2 linked regions of the Notamacropus eugenii genome follow. The protein of the gene in region 1 purifies or fractionates together with the protein of each later gene. This does not show direct contact. Links are inferred from orthologs where the notes say so. Each region holds a gene or a part of one and is shown on either strand. Other genes may lie near its edges.

Evidence for each region. The genes of interacting proteins can lie anywhere in the genome.
Region 2: the proteins of CDK14 (region 1) and CCNY purify together in Homo sapiens (affinity purification with western blotting; 3 studies listed by BioGRID and IntAct, with this or other methods). This does not show direct contact. The link is inferred for Notamacropus eugenii from reciprocal best matches to the Homo sapiens genes CDK14 and CCNY.

What each region holds. Positions count from the first base shown.
Region 1 is NC_092874.1:52,477,836-52,486,167, reverse strand, and holds the start of CDK14 (cyclin-dependent kinase 14), read left to right. Parts: upstream 1-5,035; 5' UTR 5,036-5,183; coding exon 5,184-5,274; intron 5,275-5,438; exon of another isoform or gene 5,439-6,270; intron 6,271-8,332. UniProt on the Homo sapiens protein: Serine/threonine-protein kinase involved in the control of the eukaryotic cell cycle, whose activity is controlled by an associated cyclin.
Region 2 is NC_092874.1:75,448,641-75,456,524, reverse strand, and holds the start of CCNY (cyclin-Y), read right to left. Parts: upstream 3,307-7,884; coding exon 3,153-3,306; intron 1-3,152. UniProt on the Homo sapiens protein: Positive regulatory subunit of the cyclin-dependent kinases CDK14/PFTK1 and CDK16.

The DNA.
Region 1 (8,332 bases):
AAATTTTATATGAGTCAACAGAGTGGTGGGAGAGAAATAAAGAAAGAGTCCTGTTGTACCACGCCCTGGTCAGACCACATCTGGTCTGAGTACTGTGTTCTGTTTCGGCCAGAACATTTTAAGAAGGACATCAATTAGCTGCAGAATGTTCCAGGGTTAGGAAGCCAGATGGAAAATCACCTTAAGAACATCATATAAGACTTAGTTGTGGGACTGGAGCGTGTTAAGTTTGGAGAAGAAAACAACATGATGGTTGTCTTTAGGTATATGGGAGAATGCTTACATTTGTTATACTTGTCCTCAAACAGTGAGAATTGGAACAATTGATGGAAACGACAAAGAGGCAAATTTGAGCTTGAGCTTGGAAAGTCTCTAAAAGCTAGAGCTAATTTCAAGCTGCTGCCCTGTGTTGCCCTTCATCTGAATTTTTCAGTTGGGGTCTCAAGGAATACCTATCGGATAATTTTTTCAGGTATGGTCTCAGAAGTATCAGAAGTGTTTTTCAACTTTGTGAGTTTCTGATTCTCATATGGTCAAGACCTATCAAATCCATTTGTAATATCAATGCTTTTATGCTCAGTGGATCAGGGATGTCATCCATGTATGTACTCCTTCCAACAATGGAGCTCACAGCCCATCAATGACCACTCATCTTTACCTTATTCACATTCTTCCAATAATCTGTGATGGGGATTCATTCTGGGGGCCTTTCTTTAGATTTTAAGACATTGCATGGAGATCAATGAAACTGGGCCATCCATCAGTTAATATTATAATAAGGGATGGTGACTGGGCCTATGATTTCAACGGGATAACTCCCAGGTAAAGAAATTCTAACAATACAAGGTAGCAGCTTCTCTACAGCTCAGTTTTAGATAATTAACTAGAAGACTGGGAGTTAAGTGATCTGCCTGCAGTAACAGAACCGGTATGGGTCAGATTTTCCTGGCTTGTGGGTCAACCATCTATTATACCACACTGAAAGAGCAATATAAATTTGAATATAATTTTCTATTAATATGTCCTTATACCTAAATCTTAATTCTATACACTAACAGTATGGAATTATAATAATAACAACACTAATAGTGCTATTTCTATGTCTATCTTTAATATAATAGATTTATTGATACATATTTATATAATTTGTTGTTCAGTCACGTCCAACTCTGTGACCCAGGCTGGGGTTTTCTTGGCAAAGATACTGGAGGAGTTTGCCATGTCCTTCTCATTTTACAGATGAAGACATTGAGGCAAACAGGGTTGAGTGACTTGCCCCCAGTCACACAGCTAGTAAGTACCTCAGGCTGGATTTGAACTCAGGTTTTGCTAACTCCAGGCCTGGTGCTCTATCCACTGTGCCGCCTACCTGCCCCATTTCTATAATTGTAACTCACAAAAAATGAGTTATACAAAAACCTGCGTTTTGCTTATGAATTGGATTATACACTACTTCACATTTTCTGCAGAACTCATTGAGCATGGGAGCATTCAAATATTTAGTGGTCTCTGGTTTTCTCAATTAGTTGGTAGAGCTTTGGAGTAAAATAAACAATGTCAGGCGTTCAATTCCTTTGCCAGTTGATTAAGTCAATTTTACTTTAGGAAGATCAAGGTTATCCACTGCATCTTGGGCCACAGCCAGTCATCTTGACTTTGTCTTGCCCCTGGACTTCACTGAATGGAGGAGAAAGTGTTGGCTGACAACTTCATGCAGCTCTGCCTCACTTAAATCCAATTAACGACGGGGTCGTTGGTCCTCCTGAAAGGAAGGAGATGCACATCACCCTTTTCCAATCACAGTCTTCACTCCCTGTTCCTGCACAATGGATCACCCAAATTCTATTAAGCAGAATGCAAAGTGCAAGATGGAAGGGACCATTTTGTCTTTGTCCTTCTATCCTCTGTGATACAAAGCTAGTCATTTAGTTGGTCAACATTTATGAAGTGCCTATATGTGTCAGGTAGTATGTTAAGCACTAGGGATAGAAAGGTAATAAATGGTTTCTGCTCTCCAGGGGCTCATGCAAACAACGAGGGACAAAGGAAAGACAGACAGGCTAAGAGGAAGGCACAGAGATTAAGGAGGATTGGGAAGGGTTTTCCTCAGGAAGTGAGGTTTGAAGGAGGCCAGGAGGTAAGAGATGGGGGAGAGTTCCAGGCCAGGGGAACAGCCAGTGGAAATGCTTAGAACTGCTATATAGGAGCATAAAGTTCTAGGAACAGAAAGGAGACCAGTGGTACTGGATAGAATAATAAGTGGGAGTGTAAGGTGTAAGAAGACTGGAAAGGTAAGAAGGAGTCAGGTCACAGGACTTGGAATGTATTTTTTAGTGTTTATTTAATGGAACTGAACTGAATTTCAAGAGAAAACACATTACTATTGGTCATTGTAACAGTAATCAGATTTAGCTGCTGCTTCATCTGGGTACTCAGTTTAAAACTTACGTTTTGGTTTCCATTTTTTTTTAACAGTTAAGATCAGCCATGCCAGGGGATTATCCATGGTAATGGATAACCATGACGGGAAGAGGGAGATTATGGATAGTAGATCTCCATTGATACTTCCAAAGTTTCATTTTAGCCAAGTTACAACCATCTTTCCTACTAGAGTAGAAAAAAATGAAATTGATGGATTGGAGCTAATTCTTTTTCACTCTTCTAATCATGTGAAGTTTATTTAAAAAAAATTGGGAAGGTAAAGGAGGATTAAAGTATTTGTTTTTTTAAAAAGCAAATCATTGGCAGAACTGCCAAGAGCATCTGGACTTGCTTCGTAGCTGCTGGGAGAGCTCATGGACATCCTGGGATGCTGGATGAAAAGCTTTGTTCCATCACTTACACATGTGTTGCTGACAACTTTCTCTCTGACTCACATGAGGAAATGACAAAAAGAAAACTTTTCCTGAATTGGACCACACAGGATGCTTTCTATGATAGCTAGACAGGGGCATCAGTATCAAAATGCCTGGTAATTTATTTTATTGCTGTTATACATACTGTATCTATGAGTAATTCTTTTCGCAATTCCTATTCACTACTAGACTTCCCGGAAGTCAGAACTTGGTTATTCCCCCCAATCTCCCACCCCCTTTGTCCTTATTGAATGAGATTTCTTAAACACCTTTAATGTGCTCTGCTCTATTATGAATAAATCAAAGACACAGTCCCTGTACTTCAAGGTACAATTTAAGGAAGGGGGAGTTAGTTTTTGTTGCAAGATAAAAATCTTTTAACAAAACACATATTCTCTCAAACTTCCTTTAAAGCAAACAGCATTGTCACACCCTCCCAACGTCTCTCATTGCTTACACAGCCAGATGACTCAAGATTACTAACGTTTGAATTCACAAGAAGCGCTGGTGCCCCAAACAACACATTCTAACCCTCCCCCACTTTCCTTTACTCTCCCTTTGGGAACTGGCATTTGGTTATTTGGATGAAGTCCATCTTATTAGGATCCAGATGATGTCTGTCTGCAAACTGTACAATTGCAAACTCTCAGCAGTCCAGTGTTGGAGGTGGCAAGGCATTTCTTTTTGTATCCATTGAGGCAGAAGGGTGAGGTGGGTGCTCTGCGGCAGTATAGTATATTAGAAAGAAGCAGCTAGGGGTCCAGGTCGACAGAGCGCTGGACCCGGAGCCAGGAGGGTCTGAGATCAAATCCTACACCACAGACAGTGACTACTCGTGTGATCCTGGGCAAGTCACTTAACCCCGATTGTCTCCAGAAAGCAAGAAAGCATACTGGTTTGGAAGTCTCTGCCTCTAAAATAGGACAACCCCTTCGCTAACTGTATGACCTTGGGTGAGTCAACTCACTTTGGATAAGACGATCTTTGTGGTCCCTTCTAGATCTAAATCCTTGATCTTATAACTTGGGTTCAAATCCTGGCTTAGCCACTTCCAAGAGTCAAAATGAGGGCTGCAACTAGTGAAAAGAGACTTGCTAGCTGCAAGTAGGTGCCTTGCAACAACTAGCTGTGAGACCTCGGACAAAGGACCTCGTGGCTCTGGGCCTCAGTTTCCCCAAAGGTGAAAAGAGGAGGCAGAGTGAACTCTGCGGCCTCGGAGGGGCCCTCCAGCACGAGGGGGTGCTTCGCTGCTTTCTGCAGGTCCCTCCCCTTCACAGCTGCCTGGGCAGCTGAAGGATGGACCACAGCCTGCCGCATATCGGCTGGCCCTTCCGCGGACAGCCGCGGCGGACAGCGGGCTCCCCGGCCTGCCCTTCCTTTCAATTTCACACATCGTTAATTTCAGGCAGGAGAAACACCTCCGATCCCAACGACCAACTTCTCTCGGCGCCGGCCCCCACCCCGCGGGTCCCCGTCCCGCGGGCTCGCGCCGCTCCGAGGCTCCGGCGCCGAAGGAAGGCTCCGCTCGGGGAGTCCCCGGCCCGGACACCGAGCCGCAAGTCTCGGGCAGCTCGGGCTGGGAGCGCGCGCGCGTCTGGGTGGATCGGGAGGAGGAGGGGGCGGGGGCGGGGCCGTCCGGGGGCTGCTCCCGCTCCGAGGCAGGGGGAGAGGAGGGAGGGGATGACGCGGCCTGGGAGCGGGGGAGCCCGGGCTGCCGCCGCCTTCGCCGCCCGCTGCCGCTGCTCCGCGCCCCGCGCCGCCGCCTCCGGGGCTCGCGCGGCCGGTCCACGGACGGCCGCCGCCTAGGCGACCCGGGCCGCTCCCGGCCCTCGGCCCTCGCCTCGGCTCCGCGGCGCTCGACAACTTCTCCCCCGCCCGCCCTCGCCGCAGCCCCCGCAGGCTCCTCGCCCCTTTCTCTCCCGCGGACCCCCCGCCCGCAGCCCGCCGCCCCGGCCCGGCCTGGGCGCAGCTTCTCGGCCCCCGGGGGACGCAGGGGGTGCAATGCGCCAGGCTGCGGGGAGCTCCGCGGCGGAGGCAGGCGCTTCCCGGGGCACCACGTAGAAAGTCTGGGCGAGCGGGGAGCAGGCGGCGGCGGCATCCGCGGCCCCTCGGACCCTCTCCTCCCGCGCCCCGCACCCGCCCCGCCCCGCAGCCCCGACGGCGGGGCCAGGCCCGCGGGGCTCGGGACTCGTCCGCCCGGCTCCGCTCCGCGCCCTCCCGCGTCGCCCGAGGCTGAGCCTCCTCCCCCGCCCCGCCCGCCCCCCGGTCTCCCGCATCTGCCTGGGCTAGGGTCCGGGCTCGGGAAGTGTCCCGGGCCCCGCGGTCCCGATGTGTGACCTGATCGAGCCCCAGCCGGCGGAGCGGATCAGCAGGATGAAGAAGTTGCGCCGAACTTTGTCCGAGAGTTTCAGCCGCATAGGTGAGGCTGGGGGCTGGGGGCTGGGGGGCTGGGGGCTGGGGGCCGGGCCCCCCCGTCCGTCCTCCGCCAGCCCCGGGGGGGGGTCAGCGGGGGGCTGAGTGCGCGGGGGGCCCGCGGGTGCCCGCAGGACACTCGCTTGGTGGGGATTCCAGTCCGTTATTCGCTTCCCCCCATCCTCCTCCCAGCGCGGGGCAGTGGTGTGGCCGGTTGTTCCCCCGGACCGCGGCCGGCCGGCTGGGGCAGCTTTGGGGGTTCCTGAAAAGGTGGAACCGAAACTCAAGGGGACATTTGCCAACCCATGAAACCCCAGAGGGAGTGACCGCCCCCAGGGGCACCTCTGGGCGGGCACTTAGGGTTTCCAGGAATGCCAGGGGTGATGGTAGCCAGGGGCCACCGAGACCCCCGTTTGTGGATGCTTTACAGAACGTGTGCCAGACCCACCTACCGCGAAGAGCCCCCTTGTCAGTGACCGGGAACGGCTGACTTCATTCTTTTTTTGATTCCAAAAAACTTTTTGGGAACTTCAGGCTTTTAGTAAAGACCAATCTTGTAACTGTTTCCTGGATTTCAAGGACTGACAGCAGAACTTGCCCCTTTGACTTAGCCAACTTGGGAAGGCAGCAGCAGGGTGCCCGGGTCACTGTCATCTGTGCGCGGTGGTGCCAACAGCAGGAACGTTCTGCCGCTTATTAAACTGAGCCACAGGCACTGGGTCTTTGTTTCAGGTTTTTAATGGCCATGTTGGTGAAGGTGTTAATGGAAATGGCCAATTCCACCCCTCCCCACTCCCAAAGGAACAAAAGGGCTCTAAGTAGTGTTTGCATGTATATATCTGTAGTTTAACGCAGATAGAATATTTGTGCTAAATGAACTTTTGACATTTACAAACATACCCTAAAAATGTTCCCTGTTCCCTTATCTTTTCTCAACTAAAAGTCAGTTCTGAGGATATGGATTTAGTGGTGGTGTCTTTGTTTTCCATTGACTTATGAATAGGTAAGTCAATTCAGACTGTACAACAGCCCAATCTCCCTTTAGAGTCTTAAACTCAAGCCCAGAATTAATATTAACATCCAAGTTTTCCTTGCAAGTATATGGTATATTTGTAAGTTCCCTCATCAGAGTTTGAAATCCTCAGGAAATAAAGTTTCAAGATTAAAAAGAGCATTTGTTTGTAAGTACTTATACATTTGTAAGTACTTCGTGCGCAATGTTTATTATTAATAATACTGGTAATTCAGATTCTAATCCAGATGACCATATAGGCCTCTGTTCTTGCAGTCCATTAGCTTAATGTTTTAAAAACATTTTACTGTGTATTTTCTAATATTAATGACTCCGTTGGAGTCAAGCCAGTTTTGTATTAAATAATTAATGTCAGTTGCCTTGGTAAGAAACTAAGGAAATGAACACAACAGATAAATTTAATATTAACCATGTCTATGTTTCAATAATATCTAAGTCTTCATTTTTTATTTCCATTTTGTAAGACATAGATTAAGTAGAATCTTGGGGAAGTGGAATATTGTGGGTAATTGAAATTTCAGGTTTATTGAGGGTTAGGTTGTTTTCCTTTCCAGCCTTTGTTGAGATATTAAAAATATGAGTAAATTTTCCTGCTTTACAGTGTGGTGAATATGACTGATTGCTTCTTGGAGTTCCGGAAGGCCCTCATCCCAAACATTAATTAAAAGTATAGATTTACAAAGTCTAGGAGATTGGGTTAAAGCCACACTGAGGTTGGATAATATATTGGAAGTTGCTTTTTGGATTTATCCTTGCTATCGATTTATTTTCTTGTAATTTTCCTCTTTTACCTAAAAGTAAAGATTGTGTTTGAAGACTTTTTAGCTATTTGGGTTTTATCTAATTGGAACTTTATTGTACTGGAATTAAAATTTTAAAAGATTGCACTGTTGTAGCTTTTGGAAGAAAGTGCTGTGAAATGAGGGGCAAAGGGACAGATCTAACTTGGAGTCTTCTGGCTTTCTTCATACATCAGTTATCTGTGTCTTGGTAGTTCATGGTGGGATCAAATTGCTGATACTTTTCCCGGTTCTGCAATTTGACACGCCACTACCCTTCTCCTTCCCTTGTTCAACTCAGATGGGATTATTGCAGAATGCCTGCTAGAAATAGCATCCTTCTTACTGACTTAGTTCTGCCCTTTATTTTGTGTGCAATTCCTAAGGGTAGTTTAAAATATCTTTGTGATACACAGTGGCATTGTTTAATTGCAAGCAGTGACAAATTGCCCAACTAGGAAACCTTGGTTAACAGTGAGGAACAGTCTTTGAAAGTTCTGGCTGTTCAATCAGTGTTTATAATGCAGACCACAAGAAGTTAGGAGTGCCAGCATGAAGGCCTGATTTGCTCCTCTATTAAATTGGTCCTGCAAGCTTTTCTCCCTTCCTTCAGTAACCATGGACAAGCTGAGATTACTACCTATAAAAGGACCTATAAAACACATTGATTTTCAAGCGATAGAGCCCTAATTTGTGAGGTCTGCCAGCGAGTGACTGGGATATCCACTGGGGCTCCCTCCTAAGACTTGTATAATTGAATCGGAAAGTCACCCATTGATGCTAGTTAGGAATGTTTGTGGCTTATGGCTAAATAATGTCTGCAGTCCCTTCTAATTAGGAATTATTGTAGTTGTCCAGCACATCTCTTTGGTTTTTATTTGATGCCAATAAAACGAACTAAAGAGTGGTGGAAATCTGCTACACGTTGTTCACATGATTGAAGATGTATCTTTATAAATGTTTTTGGAGGGCCAAGGTTAGGAAGTTAGGACATGTTCTCCAGAACCAAACTAAGTTTCTTTACGTTTCCTTCTGGCATAACTTTGCTGTTGAAACAGTGTATTGGAACAGAGAGTGGGAATCCTATGGTTTAGATAATTCTTGTGTACACAACTAATTTTTTTTTAGACTTAGCTTGTCCCAGCACTGAATTTAATAGGAAGACAGATCCTGAATTCCTGCATCTTGTACAGTGAATATATAATTCCAAATCTGAAACATCATCTCAGGAATTGCATCTGTTTGAAGATGGC
Region 2 (7,884 bases), about 23 Mb from region 1:
ACCAGCAGCTTGTGGTGGGAATTTTTTTAACTTCAATATAAGCAGCTATCCTATGAAAATCATCATGAATGTTAGTAGGTATTAAACAGGCAGAAGGAAGAAACACCGTTGGGACCACCACATGAAGCACATTTAATAAAGGAGACAAGATTTCTGCTGGCTGCAGATTTCTACACAATATACTCAAAGTGACACATGGGTATGTGTTCACTGTATGCCACAGAGAACTGACCTAGAGTGTTCATTAAGCATTTATTGCCTAAACTTTTCTGAACTTCTCATTTCCAGCCATGCTGCTATCCCCTAAAACTCATATATTTCGAATAGCAGGATTTGCTTTAAGAAAGCAGTTTTTGCTAATGCTAAAAGAAAAATGGAATTGCCTGGCTACTTCTTTTGAATACTGGTGGAATTCCAAAATGTTAACTCATCAGCTTCTGACTTTGAAAAGTAATCACCACAGCTCAATTCCGGAGTTAGGCCAAACTCTAACCCAATCTAAACAAACCAGCGGTCTTATTCCTAACCTCCAGCTCTGAAGAAGGGGCAGCCCTGAAAAGCTTGCAAATAGCTCAATGGAGTGAGTAAATCCTGGAAGTATTACTTACTGAATCAGATTTTGGGAGAATGACAGAACATTGTTTAAGTAGTGAATTAGCATTTCTGGGATTAAAATGGCATCATCTGAAAAGTTTCAGCCAGGAATTATACAGTACCGCAGTGATGCTACCATTAAGGAGAAGCCTGCTGCCAAGTAACTGTTCCCACCCCGGTCAGCCTTTCCTCTTGAAACAATAAAACTTTCTATAATCTACCCTACCATCATTCAAATGATCCCAAGCTCTCAAAAATAAAATCCAGACACTTCCAAATATTCTTTCCCTCCCCACCTCCCTCCACTCCAGGATACTTAACAACTGAAACTTCGACTCTTGCAAAAGAAAAAACATAGGATACTGTTTTATTGTTCCCACAAAATCCTCCCAAAGCTGCTGCACCAAAGAGCTGGTTACAATTACAATTTTTTCTGTTTTCTTATTATAGGCATCTCTACATAATCAGCTTCTAAGAAATCAGACCCTACTGTGTATTTGTTTAGGCAAATCTGTCATTTAAGATTAAAAACCTCCACAAAATGTAAATTCACATGAATGGAGTAAGAGGAAATGTTTCCAAACATGGAACTACAGGTCAAGTGTAAGGGGTTGGTCAATGGTCTTCCACAACAATCTCATAAAGTTAGAAACAGTTTGTTGTGTGGGTGTGTGTGTGCATGTTTCAACCTCAATACCTATATACAACCAAGGTCAAAGAAAACAAGACTGAAATCTTAACATCTAGGTGTATTCTACAGAACTGAAGAAAGTCACCACTTTTAAGAATCAGATTAGGTCAGTCTTACCACATGATGAGAAAATAATAATTCCTTTTGTGCCACTTAAATTGGGTTTTCCACTGTCTAAGACTTGAGTCAATGCTCCATTCTCAAACAGAGAGGAATTGGATTATTACAACAGAGAAAGTATACACTTTTGCCTCATCAGTACTTTCATTCATGCAGACACAAGGAACTTGTATAGAACAGTTAACAGGGCCAATGAAACAGAAGATTCTTGGCAAAACCAAAGAATCAAGAAATTTCTGGTTGCAAGCTTTCTGAAAGACTAAAAATACCTAAAATTTTTACTTAAAGCACTCCTGAACCAAAAGTGCAAACTAACTTCTCACTGAAAGCTCCCTGCAAAAAGAATCAGGCTAGCACTGATACAAAGAATAAAGTCAATAGTTAATCATTAAGAGGGGGCAACAGTCAGGGCATTATTTCCAAAAGCTTCTCTACTGCAAATCAAAGCTGTGTATCGGACTACAGTCATGAATCCATAGAAAGATAATATAACTCAATATATAAGCCCTTTTTTATGGTATTATTTTGACTAAAGTCATTATCTGATTTAATCCAAATCTTTCTCCTAATCTCTTAATATTGCTGAAAAAGCTCCAAAGAAAAGTATATAATTTATAGTTCTAGTATGTGCTGCCTGAAGAGAAAGGTTTTGCTGCATTTTTTAAAAAAGCATTTATCATGTTTGGGAAGGAAAACAGCAACTAACATGAAACCAGATCAGGGAAGCTGGCAGTCCATCTTTGGTGTCTGATTAATTTGAAGAGTACACCACCCCAGGAGTCCAACTGTACTCTAACTGCAAGGCAGTTTTCAGTCACTACAACTCCAAAATGGGAGTTGGCTACCCTCAGCTAACCCAGTGTTTATACATGACTTTCAGAGTAATGGAAATATATTTCACCCAGTACATCCTCATTTTTCCACCATCCTCAATCCCCCAGAAATATAATGTGGTTATCCCAGGATATAAAAGGCAAAAACGGACATCTCTAAGGTTTGACAGCTCTCACTTTGTTCCATCATCTCTGAAAAAGAAGGTGGAGTGGCTGTCACCCACACCCACGGCCTGTCTATTCTGACCATCCCTAAGGCAGCAGCACCAACACTGTCTAAACAGGACAGTTCAATGAGGTATCTTGGTCAGTAAAGTTTTTTCTGCCACTCATGGTACAAACTTCAGAACAAGCCAGCGACACCCATCAGAGAGCTCCCCTAGAGAACCAGAACACCAATTTATAAACACAACTCTTCCCATTAGAAACAGTTAACAAATACTAGTGCTTTAGCTGAGGGGAGGGGTGGTGAAGCAAAGATTAATAAGGAGAGAAGAGAAAAATCATAAAGGGATGAAGGAGACGATGCGGAGCTGCCCAACAATTGGGACCAGGAACCAAAGACCAGAGAGAAAGGAGGCTGGGAGTAACAGCCATCCTCAGCTTCATCCTTACATGTGGGGTTTATCTCTAGAGGCATAGGAGAGAAGTTAGAAGGGGAGGAGGGAAAGGTCAAAAAGGGAGGAAGGGAGAGCCCCCCTCCTTCCCATAAGCACTCTCCCCAACTGCCCACTCCGAGTTCTTGACCCCCTTTCCAGGACAGAGGCGGGAGCACACAGCACAGCACCACGCACACACACGCGGGCACACACACGCGGGCACACACACGCGGGCACACACACACGCGGGCACACACACGCACACACACACACACACGCACACGCGATGCTTCTCTCTGCCCATCTCGTACTCACCATCGATGTTCTCCCGATCGCTGATGTGTTGCAGGTTGCAGCCTGTGTCCTCCCGGCTCAGCTCGGTGTCGGGCCGATAGGACTCCAGCCGGGAGTGGGCATTTCTCCTGAGCTTGGGGCTGGACGACACACAGCAAGACGTAGTGTTCCCCATCTTCACTGGCCTCCCCAATTCCTCCTCCCCTGGCTTTCTCCTTCTACCACTTCCCCAACCCCCCCACCCCGGGGATAGGGGTGCAGGGCAAAGGGGCGGGGGCAGAGGAGGGAAGGGATGCGGGGGGCACAGGGGGTGGGGATGGGGGTGGGGGAGGAAGAGGGGGCGTGGGGTCTCGCTCCCCGCCGCGGGGGGTGCTAGCCGCAGCCCAGCTGCCCCGGTCAGCAGCTGCAGCAGCGGCCGCGGCGGCGGTGCCTAGCCATGGGCGGCGGAGGAGGAGACAACGGGGAGCTGGGGGAGGAGGAGGCGGAGGAAGAGGAGGAAGAGGAGGCAGCGGAGGCGGAGGCGGCTTCCCAGGCTGCCCCCTCGGTGGCACACGCTCGCCGCTCTCCCCAGTGGCTCATCCAAGCGGCCCCGCACCAAAGCACGTCCTGGCTGGCTCGGCGGCGCCGCGAGGGGCAGGCAGACCCCGAGCGCTCTGTCTCCCGCACACACACACACATGCACGCACGCACACTCACACTCACTCGCACACGCGCGCGCGCGTGGGGCTGCAGCGGTGGCGGCGCCTAAGTCATCCCGCCGCAGCCAGGGGCCGGCCCGGGGCTGGGGCGCGCCTCCGGGCCTTGGCACTCCGTCCGCCCGGGCTGGCTGCGGGAGCGGCGGCGGCGGCGGCCCCAAGCTGCCTGCTGCAAAAGGTTCCGGTTCAAGGGGGTGGTAACCGGAGCCGCCGGCCAGCCAGGCTGCGGAGCCCGAGTGCGCGGCCGCCGGGGCGTCTCCGCCTGCCCCGCGCGCTGCCCGCGTGCCCCCGGGCCGCCGCCGCCCGCCGGGAGGGGGGATTCCTCCGGGCCGCCGCCGCTGCAGCCGCCGCCGCTGGGGGAAACCCCCGCTCCCGCGACATCCCCGCCTCTTCTGCTGTCGCCTCCTCTTCCTTTTTCGAGGCGTCGGCTGCCCTGGAAGCACAAGAGCCCGAGCCCGCGGCCGGGGTGCCCGGGGTGCCCGGGAGGCAGCGTGCGCCCTGCCCGGCCCCAAGGCATCCCCGTCCTCTGCGGAGTGCCTGGGGCAGCTTCGGCTTTCTTCCTTACAAAAAATAATAATTCTTTCCATCTCTCCCTCAGTTCCCCGCACTCCTTATCCAAAGGAGCCGAACGGGAGACTCGATAGAATATTTACAAAACATCTCAATCTGTGTTTCTTTTCCCTCAAGCAAGATGGAAACCTGGCACAGGGAGAAACACTGGCAGGGGAGAGTGAGTTTGCCCTCTTTTGGGGGGCCCAAATGCTGGCTTCATAATGTGAAACCAGAAGTAGAGGGAAAGGAATCAGGAGGACTAGGGAAATTAGATGGGGCTGAGTTAGAGAGAGATTGGATGGAGAACTGGGGCAGAGGAGCATCACATTTCAGGCTGGAAGGGATCTTGGGGTCATCTAATCAAAAAAAAACCCTCGATTTTACAATGAAGCCAAGAGAGGTTGTGACTTGTCCAGGGTCACACTGGTAGAAAGTGTAGGATGAGGCGGGTAGGAGCAAGAGGGATGATTGGGGCTCGTTGGAAGGAAGAAAGAAGCATTTTTTGTGACAGTCCGGAGAATGTGTTTTAGTGTTTAAAAAAAAAAGTGGGGCGGAGTGGAGATGGGAACTTGCACCTTGAGTCAGAAGATCCCCGGTTTATTTTAGGGCAATGCCATTGATTAGTTGTAGACCTTGTTGAAATCATAGAATGAATTCCCTTGTGCCCCCCAGCTGCGGAGGGCACAGTCACTTGAAAGTTAAGCGTCTATACAAGAATCAAGAAAAATAGCATTATGATCATTACAAAATGTTGAAATTATTTTTAGTAGCAAAGTGCTGGTTATCACTTAATCAACAAGTATTTGAGTGATATTTGCCAAACGCTACGCTATATACTAGAGATACAACAACCCAAATGAAGCCTCAAGGAGCTTACATTCATTCTATACATTTAGAACTAGGAGAGGGTTTAAAAACCCTTCAGCTTTAATATTCAGTCATGACTCATAATGACCCCATTTGTGATTTTCTTGGCAGAGATATTGGAGTGGTTCTCCATTTCCTTCTCCAGTTCATTTTACAGATGAGGAACTGAGGCAAACAGGATTAAATGACTTGCCGAGAGTCGCTCAGCTAGTAAATAAATGTCTGAGGCCAGATTTGAACTCAGGAAGATGAATCTTTCTGACTCCAGGCCCAGTGCCCTATCTACTGACACACTTGCCCAACTATGTTGTCATATAGAAAGAGCTTTTTAGTCAGAGGACCTGAGTTCACAGCCTGTGATCTGCCAGGTACCATGCACGCTAGGAATTAGAAATAAAACAACAAAAATAAAAGTCTTAGGGGCAAGGTTTAGAGGTCATCTAGTTTAGATGCTGTCTAAACTAGAGGTTATCTAGTTTGGACACAGTATTTATGCAACCTTGGGCCAGACATTTAATTACCCTGAACTACCATTTCCTCCGTATCAAAAGAGGTGGTTGAACTAGGTAATCTCCCAATTCTCCATCTGTGATCCACGGAGGTATTAAATGACAGCTGGGAATCAAACCCAAGTTTTCTGAAATCCAGCACTCTTTTCGGTGATAATAATGGTTCACCTTTCTATAATGCTTTTAAAGTTTGCCTCATGCACTGAACGGGAGCCCATTTTGGGTAGTAGTCAGGTGGCCGTGCAGGTGTTGTCCATGAAGCAAACCTGTATTGCCAGTAACTGTAAACTAGAAAACTCTTCTCTTTCCCTTCCCTTCCCAAGTTTGATGCAGCCCTTTGGAGCAGGGCAGGAAGGGATGTAGAGAGGTAATCAGAAGAGTATTGAATTGTAAGTTTCTTGAGGACAGGAGACTATGATACTTTGACTTTTTTGTATTACCAAGGCATTTGAGAGTTGTTCAAAGGGTACTTGAAGGTGAATGAGAGAAAGGTCATTCCCAGGAATTTGTCCTTGTGATTAGGATAATCCCTGGAATGCTGAATTATTTCATGGTAATGATATGGGACAAGGTGACTTTATGTGTATATCATTTTCTTCCTTCTCTCTGCCCCCTTCTTTCCAGGAGTGGGGAAATTAAAGATCAGAATGGAGAAATTGGCCTGAATTGAAGTTGGACTAGACTAGTCTAGAACAGAGACTAGGCTAAACTGGGAGAACCTGAGGAGTACAGCCTTGGTAATAGCCCTGATAGTCTAGTTCTGGAATCAGTGATTTTCTCTGACTTCCCTGGAAAGCACTAGGCAAAATAGCAAACTAGGCATTTTCCCTTATTGTCCTCTTAACCCAATACTTCTTTGTATTGCAGTGATCTAGTTTATTCATACTGTTCAAAGATACCCATTCCCAAACTCGCCGTCTAGTCAAAATTTTACTTCCTTTGTCCCTCTAAATGAGTATCACCCCCTCACCCTCCAAAATTCAAAATCTGATTACCCAAGTGATCTATCTACCCAAGAAAGCCTATGTAGGTATTGATCCTGGTTATCCACCCTCTCTTGGCATACTTAGAACTGTGTTCTTAACTTTTTAATAACTTTTCTGTTTCACTGGTTCCTCCACCTCCCATTCCCATCATGTTGGCATTCCCCAGGGTTCTGTTCTTGGCTTAATTCTCTTTCTTTGCTCTTTCCCTCAGTGATCTCATCTACCTCACTGGCTTGCCCAAATCTCAATTTCTAGCCCCAGTTTCTCTGTTGAGCTGTTATACATCTGCATTTCCAGCTGTTTCCTAGACAGCACCATCTGGAAGACCTGTCAGCACTTCAAACTCAACATATCCAAAACTGAATTGTTTATCTTTCCAACCCCCACCCTTCCCAACCAGCTCCACCTCCTGGCTTCCCTATATTTAACACTACCAACCTCCCAGCCACCCATATTTGATACCTGACAGCCATCTTAGACTTTCTTTTCTTTTGTCCCCACATCCAAACAATTTTCTTCTTTCTCCCATCTAACTTCTCTTTGTCCACTTCTACCATTTCAGTTCGGATTTCCATGCCCTCTTTCATACATTATTTTCTTAAGTTTTATTGCTGCCTTATGCTTTTACATCCCAGTCCCTTCCAAATATGTCTTTTCCCTTTTCTAAATCTTAATCTTCTCTGGTAACAATAACCAAAAATCTGTTAAGCAAAACCAACCAAAATATCACCAACACCTGAAACTATTTTTGATATTCCGCACACATAGTTCTTTACCTCTCCAAACAAAGAAAGATTCATTTCCTGGGCCAAGCTTAATCATTTTATCTCCTTCAGCTTCATTTTATTGTCCTTTTTTGTTTACTGTAGTCGTTGTATGTGTTCTTTCCCTGACTATTCACTCTTAGATTCTTGCAGCAGCCTCCTGACTGGTCCCCTTCAGTCTTCTTCCCCTCGTTTACCAATTCATTCTACTTCTGGTATCAGATTAATCTAATCAGACCATAATTGATCATGTCATGCCCTTGCTCAGAACCTTCAATGGATCCCCATTATGTAGCCCATTATGTATATATACAAATGTACCTTTCCAAACTTCTCTCCTACTATTATTCCCCTTTATGTACCCTATTCTAGACAAATTG